3 linked regions of the Schizosaccharomyces pombe genome follow. Changing the gene in region 2 together with the main gene of any one other region gives a genetic interaction. Each region holds a gene or a part of one and is shown on either strand. Other genes may lie near its edges. The genes, in order: spn4, art1 and spn1.

What was found.
Region 1: mutations in art1 (region 2) and spn4 impair growth when combined (synthetic growth defect), as found in Schizosaccharomyces pombe (one study listed by BioGRID).
Region 3: mutations in art1 (region 2) and spn1 are lethal when combined (synthetic lethality), as found in Schizosaccharomyces pombe (one study listed by BioGRID).

Annotation. Positions count from the first base shown.
Region 1 is NC_003424.3:1,991,356-1,995,114, forward strand, and holds spn4 (mitotic septin Spn4), read right to left. Parts: upstream 1,727-3,759; 5' UTR 1,575-1,726; coding exon 432-1,574; 3' UTR 127-431; downstream 1-126. Other genes in the region: tRNA (m1A) methyltransferase complex catalytic subunit Trm61, read left to right, coding at 2,575-3,669.
Region 2 is NC_003423.3:2,364,205-2,367,963, forward strand, and holds the start of art1 (arrestin-related substrate adaptor for RhoGEF, Art1), read right to left. Parts: upstream 1,610-3,759; 5' UTR 1,527-1,609; coding exon 75-1,526; 3' UTR 1-74. Other genes in the region: SUMO deconjugating enzyme Ulp1, read left to right, coding at 2,913-3,759.
Region 3 is NC_003424.3:4,850,945-4,854,703, reverse strand, and holds the start of spn1 (mitotic septin Spn1), read right to left. Parts: upstream 1,665-3,759; 5' UTR 1,619-1,664; coding exon 1,439-1,618; exon of another isoform or gene 1,402-1,438; coding exon 805-1,401; intron 760-804; coding exon 127-759; 3' UTR 1-126. Other genes in the region: mannan polymerase complex subunit Mnn9, read left to right, coding at 3,383-3,759. UniProt on the Schizosaccharomyces pombe protein: Plays a role in the cell cycle. Involved in a late stage of septum formation leading to the separation of the daughter cells.

The sequences.
Region 1 (3,759 bases), on a different chromosome or scaffold from region 2:
AAAGATCATATTGTCATGTAGCTAAATATTTGTAACATATTATTAAGCATTGACTATAAACACACATTGCACAATTTTATTTCAGAAAGACACAAAACGAGAAATTTTAAGTACTTATGCAAGAAATTTTATAAGATACAGAAAATTTATTCGATATCAAAATTATATAAAAATTGAGCAACTTATGAAAGCATATGTACTATACGTTGAATAAAACCACAATAAAAGAGTGTATAAAGGCATAGAAAAAATAAAATAAAATCATATAGTTAATTGATTGTCTAAAGAATGTAATTTATACGGGAGGCAAGATAGACGTTTGACATTATGTATTAGAAATGAAGGACCATAAAAGATGATAGTATGGTTCACTAGCAAACAAACCCAAATGATAATTGGGTATCAAGTTTCGTTATATTTTAACATTATCTCTAACGTTTGCGAGAGCTGGTAGCCGCCTTTAGTCGTTCGATTTCAAGTTCAATTTGTTTTATTTGAACATGCTGAGCTTCCAAATCTTTATTTAATGAGTCGCGTTCGGCAATCAAGCGTTGTTCCCATTGTCGAAATCGAGTTTCTTCTACGCGCACTTGTTCTGTAAATCTTTTTCTCAAATTTTCTTCTTCTTCCTTAAATTTCGCATTATCAATAGTCCGCAGTTTAGGTTCTCCATACTGGCGAACTTTCATCTGCTCTTGTCGATATTGCTCATACAACTTTTCTTCAGTAGTTTGAATCAAATCAAGCATACAACTCCGAATTAAAATATTCCTAAGCTGTTTAAAGTCGCAGTGTTCTTCGTTCTCAATTTCAACAATTCCCCATGGGTATTCTCTACCCTTAACGACCCTACCATCAGGAGTACGGATGTCATCTTCGCTTCCAACAATCGCGAATGGCATGCAATTAATGATTCCTTGAATTTGTCTGTGAAAAACGGGATCGCCCTCATCCATATTAGGTTTATAAACATTGACTTGATGGTATTCTAAAACTTGAGAAATTCTAGTTTTATACAGAGCTAAATCCCTTCGAGTATACATATCGGCTTTAGCTATGACAGGAATTAAATTGACACGCTTAGAAATATGTTTCATAGCCTCCAAATCCATAGGCCGAACACCATTTCTTACGGGACGCAAAAAATATAGGCAAGCATGAATACGCATATCAATGATCTTACGACGATCTGGCTGCTGATCTTGTCTCATGTACGATTCATGCTGGTCTTCTATAAATTCAACTACCGACTCCCAACATCCTGAATTATTGATAAAATCCCCAAAACCAGGGGTATCAATTACTGTCAACCTTAAGTGGAAATTTTTTTCTTCTAACTCAGCTTTTGTAATCTCTATTTCGACCGTTTTCTCAGCATGCTTCGCACGAACCTTTTCCGGGCCCATATGTGATTTAATTGTTGTTGAAAAGAGTGTATTACAAAATGTTGTTTTACCAAGACCCGACTCTCCACAAAGCATCAAAGTGAAAGCTACACCATTTCGTGAAACTATTTTGTGACGCTGATTAGGTAAATCCGCAATTCCAACGAAGTTTGTCTCTTCTTCATTCATGACGCGCAGAGATGAATAGTATATTTCCTTTGTTTAACGGTCTGTAAAATATTGACTTAAAAGCTTCCAAACTAAATAAAAAAGTTTCCAAAAAATGCAAGAGAATTGTTATTAGTTTTATTAAAGCATAAATGGTAAAAAACGGAAGGTCTAAGTAAATAGATAATCGAAGCTTCGTTGCAATCACTCGTTAGCGATATAACTATATGATCACTATACCTCATTATATTTTTAACGGGCTTTCGTCTCGTAAATATACTAACTATCATTACTAGTTTGCTCATTAAATTTCATAAAGATTCTGAATGCCAGAAATTATGCTTGGCAAATATATAAAAACCTCTATACTACGTAACAGAAATAGATTGCTGGGAAGTATGCATTTAAGTTATTGATTTAATGTTCATTATATTGTTCAAGAAAATAGTTACTACACAGGTAATATGATGATCAAAATCGTTGTTTTAGTTGATATACAAGTACTAACTTGTTGCAGTGTAAAGTTAATTCGTGGCAGCATAGTAATTAACGGCAGCATTGATAGCATTTTCTAAATTATTTAACGAATTTTACGTTCGTAGCTTTGAGAGTTAATGTGAGATATCGTTATTAATATTTAACTAATGAAACATGGCTACACTAAACAAATGTTAACTAAAATAATAGCATAGTGGGCGTAGGGATAGGTTAACCATAATATCTTGAAAAGACTAAAAAAATTTATCTCAACACATTAGTTTTAAAAACTTCTTTACTTCAGTCTTGTATGATTTAAAATTACAGATTTGAGCGGATCTTCATATACTTCACACTGACTTATTTTATTAACTCTTCAATAATCGTGAATGCACCCGGTAATTTAGACCAACGAAAAATTAAGTCCCAATTTTTCTTTGGCTAATTATATTGATTTGTTAAAACGCAATTAAATAACACTACCTTCTAATTTTTCGTAATACATATATATATATATATATTATATGTTTTTTTGAAATTTATAATGGTATTTGCAGACTATAAACAACGTGTTGAAAATGGCGATTTGGCAGTAGCTTGGATTGGTAGGAACAAGTTGATTCCTTTACATATAGAAGCTGAAAAAACATTTCATAATCAATATGGTGCCTTCCCACATTCCGAAATGATTGGTAAAAGGTACGGCGAGCAAATTGCATCTACAGCGAAGCAAGGATTTATTTACCTTCTTCAACCAACTCCGGAACTATGGACCCTCGCTCTTCCTCACAGAACACAAATTGTTTACACTCCAGATATTGCTTTAATCCACCAAAAGCTTCGTATCACTTACGGAACCCGAGTAATAGAAGCTGGTACTGGTAGTGCTAGCATGTCACACGCAATATCGCGAACAGTCGGCCCTCTTGGAAGATTATTTACTTTCGAATATCACGCAACTCGCTATCAAACAGCGTTACAAGAATTTCGGGAACACGAGATGTTAATTGATGTGGGTGGAAATACTCATCTAACTCATAGAGATGTCTGCAAAGATGGTTTTTTGGATACGGAGGTAAAGGTTGACGCTATATTTTTAGACCTTCCAGCTCCCTGGGAAGCAATACCGCATCTTTCGAATCATGTAAATCATGATAAAAGCACTCGAATTTGTTGTTTTTCTCCTTGTATAGAACAAATTCAACATTCTGCTGAAGCACTACGAGAACTTGGCTGGTGTGATATTGAAATGATTGAAGTTGATTATAAGCAATGGGCTGCTCGTAAGAGTCGAATTGTTCATATTGACGAAGCAATCGATAGGCTAAAAGAGGTTAAAAGAAGGAGGATCGAAGGATTTGAGAGAAGAAAAATGAGGCGTGAACAAAACTTATCTTCTGATGCGAAGGTAGAAGATCAAGATAACGATTCAATGCTTGGTGAAAACAAGTCTTCTGTGTCCACAGAAACGGCGTTAAAGCCCGTTACTAACAAACGCATTAGAGAAGGTGATGGAAATTACGAATGGACAGATGTTGCAAGAGTTGATTCTAACTTAAAATCACACACCAGTTATTTGCTATTTGCGGTGCATTTGCCATCTCAGCTAGATAAACAGAACCAGGAGACAGGCCCTTAGATAACTTTCATATTTATGCAAAACAGAAATTTAGTGAAAATAGGCCGAAGTACTCCAAAGGACACACAGGCACGGTAAATGACATACAGG
Region 2 (3,759 bases):
TAAGGCTTATGATCAACAATATCGGGATTTACATTTGTAGTAAAGCACAGATTGAGCTTGAAAAATGTAACTTCCTAAGATAACAGGACAATGTCATCATTCAAATAAGCAAACATATTATTTTTGGAAAAATCTGAAGCTCGCACAATCCTAACGTTTTCTTCGAGGACAACGCCTCCGTGGCTTTGGCGAACGTCAAGGACTCGGGTTTGAATTTCATTAAGTAAGGCTTGACTTCGTGATCGTTCCACTGGGGAAACAATAATTGGGTTTGTTATTTCAATGTTTCTAGCACGATATAATTGTACTTTGATGACTAGCATGTATTGTACAGAGTAAAGATCAGAGGTGGTCGTGAATCCAGTGATATTTGCATCTTCAAAATCAATGTCGGGGAAAGGTTTAGAAAGGCTTTTCGATAAACCTTCCGATGTAAGTTTCATATCATCCAAATCTTCTTCGTAACGTAATACTTTCTTTTTACGAACTATTGGGCTTGAAGAAGAGGGATGTATGAACGTGATGTATTCAACCAAGGAAAGAGAAAGTTGCTGTACTCGTATTTTAGAACCATTATTAGGCATGATGGAAACGAAGACGGAGACGAGATCCGAAGGTCCAATACACAGTTTGGGTATTGATACCTCTACTACAACACGACCATCGCTACTCACTTGCCGAATATTAGTAGGGGAATTATACATCCCCCAAGAAGATAGATTATCATACCTGCTGAGTGACACTGGTACAGTGGTAGTAATATCCGGTACCCCTAGTAAACTCATGTGAGCACGTAGTTCATATTTCGTGGAGCATATTGTACCAGACCGATTCAATTCAAAAGTCGATGGAATTTCTGAATTTTCGGGAAACGGGATTTCAAAGGGAAGGTCCATTGACCATACCCTATGAGTAGCGTAAGGATCTGAAGAAGAAGAGAGTATAGGAGTTTGGTCACCAAAAGGAGTGATAGATGTGTCATTAGAGGAAGATGTGGTGGATACTGATCTAAACGGAGTGTAAGGAGGTTGATATACCGAAGATCCAGAGGCATTAGGAAGATGAGGTGGAGGGATAGGTGGAGTAGTACGGTTATGAGTATGAACAGAAGGATTATCCTGATCAGACGCATAAGAATCTACTATCCAATCGCTAGTAAGGGAGGGTGGAGGTGATTTGATAGACAAATCGCTGATAGAATAATTATTATCATTAGGAGGTATGTTATTTTCAGGATGCTCGGAATGAAGTGGAAACAAAACCTGCCTTGCCAGACACTTATTATCTGATAAGTGATTACTTATACCCAAGGATGGTATTACCACTGATTCAATTTTCCATAATTCTAACGTTATTTGAACCAAAGCCAAAGGTTGGTGAATTTCTTTACTTCGAACTTGGACGATACCAACCAACCTTGGAGCTGAAGTTGGTATCCCATTAAATCCAGCTTGGAAATCCAAATGTGGTAACGGACGTATCTCCAAAGGAGAAAATTGCCGTATTAGCGTACACGGGGATGTCATGCTCTTACATTTAGTGAGTTCCTCTGGCTTGGTGCTGGTTATGGGAAGTTGAATCTACCAAATGGTAGACAGGTTGGTTCAGTGCAGCAATGTCAGATCTAGATAGCTAAATAAAATCTTTTAAGCACTCGCTTAAACACTGCTAAGTGACTTTTTATAGCAATGAAATTAATAATATTTTATTATATAAAAATCTAATTTTAGGCCAAAAAATGTACTTTTGTTTCCATTCCATAGAATTAAAATCAAAAGCCTACAATTGATAGCCAAGCATCTAAAGCTAGTATCTGTTGTAAAAAAGTTCCATTTTGATTACAATAGTAAAAACTAAAATGACTTTAATAGCCTAATTTTGAAATTGGTATTTTCAACTTAAAATTCACTTACGAAAGCCTAAAATATGTTTATTCTTACAGCAGAAGGCTTTTTTTTTGAATTTTTGAATTTTTGAAACCATAACACACGATTGATCGCAACATACATATACGAAATATAGAAGAGAGACTGAATTCAAACGAAAACAATATAGCAAGATATCAGATTATTGAGCAGCAGAAGAAAGGGAAATAAAGCAAGTAAATACTATTTTACTAAAAATCAAACGAATCTCTAAAAGAACAGATATTTCACGCATAGTTAACAGACAATGCATAACAAAAAATTCAAAATCGAGAAAAACAAGAATCAAGAGCAACTGGTAATGCTAATTTTTGATAGTTATATGAGCCGTAGTATGATAAAAAACCCCGGCGATAATTGAGGAAATTCATTGCTGATGTACGACTCTTTTCTATCTAGGAAATAATGATTGTTTGAAGGATAACCTGAATATAGGGCTTTCTGTTCATTCAAAGATCCCTTCAGGAAGTGTTAAATGGTTTGTATAAAACTAACTCACATTTTCCGATTTATCTTTTCATTTTCAGGGCATATATCAGAACTTAAAACAATTTACTAGTAGCGATACGCTACCACTTACTTATTAAACGCTTAAAAGAGTAACACAGTGTACTGTCATGAATGTATATTTTATAAAAGCAATATGATATTTAATTTACATTAATATACTTGTAAGCTTCTCACGGCTAAAAGTAGTGATAGCCCACATTGAAGTAGGATTTTAGTGTAATGAAATCAAACACAGTAGGCCCTAAAGATAAACGGACACTTACATGTTAAGCAACATAATTTAAAATCTTACAAGCAAAGCTAGCGGCTCGAAAGCCAAACATTGTAATATAAACACAAAAAGTAGTTTGTTTACAGTAAATACCGCAATACTCGTATAACGAGGTATTTTCACAACGTAAGCAAGAACGCGCTCATCCTTCCAGGTTGTTGTGTGTCACAGCCTCTCGCGATTCACCCTTTACAATTCACTCGTGAATGATAGGAAAACGCAATGCGTCAAAAAGGACGCGTCAGGATGATTGTATTACATATGAAGAGTATCAAAGGAAACGTAAAAAGACATTTTTGAACACGTTTGTTAATATTTGTTCTCGTACAGTTACTTATGCAAAACTTTTTTTGACAAAAACTCCCATTTCTGAATTGGATCGCATCGCTGGCGAGGCGATACCATCTAATAGTAATAGTACAAATTCAAAACTAGAGCCTTCTACTAAAGCCCCTGAATCTCGGTTTTCTCACATAAATTCCAAGACTGAACGTGGTTACGTGACGGTCGAATCTGATATGTCTTCTCACAATACTCTTGACAGAAATAGTAAACCTACCGTTTCTCATTCATATACAAATTCTAGTAAGGATGAAAAATTTTTGGATCCCATTGCTCTTCAAAATCTATTTTCCCCTGCCTCTGACACGCATTCTCAAAACATCCATGACGAAGCATTATCTCCATCAAGCTTTCGTGTGTCTCGTTCGAGATACTTCCCCCGACCTCATCGGTCTTCCAAAAATTTATCTGTTAGTAATCGGTTACAGCTTGCGGTTTTTAAGGAAACAACTTCATCGACATTATCCCACGGTAATTCCGTTGAGGCTGACGAAATAAACTCTTTTAATCCTACACCTTTCTCTTCTTCTCCTCTGCACTTTACGAACTCCTCTCCAAATCCAAACTCTGACATTGTTACACCGGACAAGCAGCTAGATGTTGTTAGCGAACACGCCAGATATAAACACCTTCCTTTTACGGCTACGTTAAGAAAGAAAAGTCCTCATGATTCAACGTCTCGGAAAGCCTCTTTTAGGTTCGTTCAATCTG
Region 3 (3,759 bases), on a different chromosome or scaffold from region 2:
TATGGTAGAATAATCAAGGAAAGATATACAGCCCAATATTGGACTTTAAGTAGTAATTAAATAACAAAGAAGGAGATAGCAGTAGAACTGCGGTGTCATACAAATAAATATCAGCTAGTAAGGAGACTATTTAAAAAACTTCCTTTTACTCTTCTCATTTTCGGCCGCAGCTTTAGCTTGCATTAACCGATTTTTGTGATCAATTAAGTCAGCTTTTTGCTTCTCCAATGCTGCCTTCATTTCGCGATGACGGGTACGTAACTCGTTTTCAGATTGTTTAAGACGATCTTCTTTTTCTTGAACCTTCTGAGAAAAAATGGTTTTCATTTCTGCTTCCATTTTCATCAATTTCTCTTCGTGTAAGGCACGCTCCTCTTCGAGTTTAGCACTAGGGTTGACTTCACGAAAAACGGAGTGATCTTGTGATATTCCGCTGCTAAGCAACCGTTCAGTACGATACGCTTCATACAGCTTATTTGTCTGTTCTTTGAGTTCTTCTAAGTGTGTTCGAATAAGCATTTCACGAAGCTTAGGGAAATCAGAATGCTCTTCATTATCGACTTCAACAACGCCCCATGGGTACCGCCTCCCGCGGACGCGCTTTCCTTCATTGTTGACCACGAATGTATTAGAAGCAATTATAGCAAAAGGTATTCTACTCATGATGTCTGCATTTTCTGCCACTGATTCAGGATCATCGGTCTCATATGTCGGAGGGAAGAAAATTCTGATATTGTGGTATTGGATATCTCTCAAAATCTATCATTTTTTCATTAGCAACTTTAAATCAAGATTAGGGCTTACCATTTCCTTCGTAAAGTTAAGTTCATCATCCGTTAGTGTATCGGCTTTCGCAATGATGGGTATAATATTTACTTTCTCGTGCAAAGCCAACATAACTCGAAGCTCCATAGCACTTATAGCATGACCAGTAGGCTGAATAAAAAATATACAAGCATGAACTCTTGGATCTTGAATAGTAGATCGAGGATTGTGCTTTTCAAGCTCAAGATATTGATCATAGCGACCCTCGATATCTGTCAAAACTGGTTGCCAACAATCGGTGTTGTCAATAAAATCGCCAAAACCGGGTGTATCAATTACATTTAATTGAAGACTGATACCATTTTCCACTATTTCAACTGCAGAAGAGTTGATCATAACAGTGGGTTCTGGGTTCACTCCAAAATCCCCAGTTAAAGATTTCTGGGTCGGTGGGTAAACATCTCTATTCAATAGCGTATTCACAAGTGTAGATTTCCCTGAACCGCTTTCCCCTAATACTAATACGTTGAAATTAAAACCTTGACGAACACAACGACGATGCCATTGATTAGGAAGACTAGCGAATCCAACGTATCCGTTCAACTGACGCTGGATTATACTAACGTGCGGATTGAACTAAATATTAGTAAAGGAATTTTAAATAATTGATTACCTCTTGTTCAGAATTATCCTGAATGGGTTTTTCTTCATTCTTGTTTTCTGAAATGGCTGCCTCAACATTTATTTGCGTTACATTATCTGTAGATGTGAAAGAATCAACGTCGGAACCCCTGCTTCTAGTGGAATCATCTTTAACTGTAGGCATACCATCCGCGAGTACCATTGACGCCATGTCAGAAATTATCGAAAACCCCCGTGTTGGTGGTTATGTATGTGATGAAGAGTGTAGCTAGGAGCTCGAGCATGAACATCTATTTGCTCAAGTAGGAAATTAAACTTAACCAATTTTTTTCTTAATTATGTTTCACGAAATTATAGAGCTTTTTTGAAATTTCTTAATTCACTGTCGCGTCGAATTTAGGTCCTTAACCTCGAAATATACACGGCTGGGATGCATTAAATAAAAAGATACTAAACATTGTTATTCCATTGTTTTAGTTGTCTTGTTAATTTTACAATTATTTTTTTTAACAATTGGATAAATCTAATGAATTAAAATTATCCATTATCTGTATTTGTTTAAAAACATTTTTTGACCTTTTATTTATACCTAAATTATTTGTTTGAATACCCTTTCAGCATGCAATCATCTAAATCTTTTGAATTTAATTTAAAATATTTATTTTTCTATTAATATAGAACCTTGGGCAGTAGTCGTTGAATTGAGCATTAATGCAAATCCAATTTATTGCACAACTGATTATTTATTCAATTGAACTTGTACGTCGACAATGTGACCCTCAACGATTTTAAAGATTTAATTATTAGACATAAAACACAGTTAGAAATTATTGCCTGGCCAACATTTTCATGCTAATAGATGATTCAGAAACAAATATCTATATTTCTTTTCCTACGAAAAAGTAAGATCAAACTAAAACATTAGAAGCTTGTTTACCGTATATTTTTGATCTTAAAGGACTTTTAAGATAAATTTGAACTTATTATAAATAATAAAATGTTAAAAAAAAATTTAACATAATAGGATCATTTTTACTAATTAAATAACGATTATATTAGTCTTTATAACAGCGTTTACAGTCTCCGAATTGCAGTATAAGCTCTAAAACTCAATTGAATAAAGGCATTTAATAGTCAATCATTGTTTTGTTTTCCTTCTAGCTATTTCAGCTCTTCTTGCTATCAAAGCACGGAATGACTTAACGCGGTGTTGTGTGGCTGGTATCAGAGAAAGAATAACTCCAGTAAAGGTACGCAAGCAATCCCAGTATGTCGTCGTTAAAACTATGAATATAATATGTCAAAAATTAATGTGAAAAGACGTTAATCAACACAATATAGAAGTACGTGTCTTATATTAAGAAATCGAAATATCTATAATTGAATTTAATAACGAAATCTTGCGTGACTACGCTATTAATTCTAGTTGTTATGAATACAGATGGGATCAAGGTAACTGGTATTCACCTCCTTTTCGACGTAACCAGAGCCACACATTATACTGGACAAAGGCGTTCTCTGGCGGCGGAATCGAACCAATATATAAGAAAACACTCAAATTCTGGGTTTATTGGAGGAAATTTTTTATTTTAAAAACAGTTTCTTTTACTCGAAAAAGCGTTTTTAATACTTCTTTCTTTGGCTTTGTTTTTACTCGATAGGGGCAAAACCTGTACAAGCTTGATTCGTGAACGTACGACATAATCCTTTGTTTGTATTAATGCTTAAATTATCTTAAGTATTTATTAACGGGGTATTCACTAGTTGAAATACATTTATATATATAAGGTGTTACTTTCGCGACTACAGCTGTTAGCCGTTGCTTTTTTAAGGAATTCGCATAATTATTTAAGAACTCGATTCTGTTTAGACCCACAAAACAACATCCAGATTCGGGTTGATTTTAATTTTTAACTCTCTATTTTTATTACTCTTATTAAATTGTGCCCTTCCATTTTTATTTATAAACTTTAAGATGCGCGTGTACAATAAATCTAGAATTGTAGGGCAGCTCCTTTTTGTGGCCCTCGGTATTACTTTCATCTATTACCTATTTACTCCATCTGTCAATTCAAATGCCAAAGTTCAGATTGAAAACCGTGGGGGGAATTCTTACGAAATATACGATATGAACAAAATTACGGAATCTTCCGATCCCATTCGTAACAAAGAGGAGGTGTTAATCTTAACTCCTATTGCTCGATTTTATCCACAGTATTGGAAAAATCTTCTTGAGCTTGACTATCCGAGGAATTTAATTTCTTTAGGGTTTATTGTTCCTTCGTCAAAGGACGGTGCAAAAGTTCATCGTGAACTTCGGAATGCTATCAATGCTGTTCAGAAAGGTCCAGG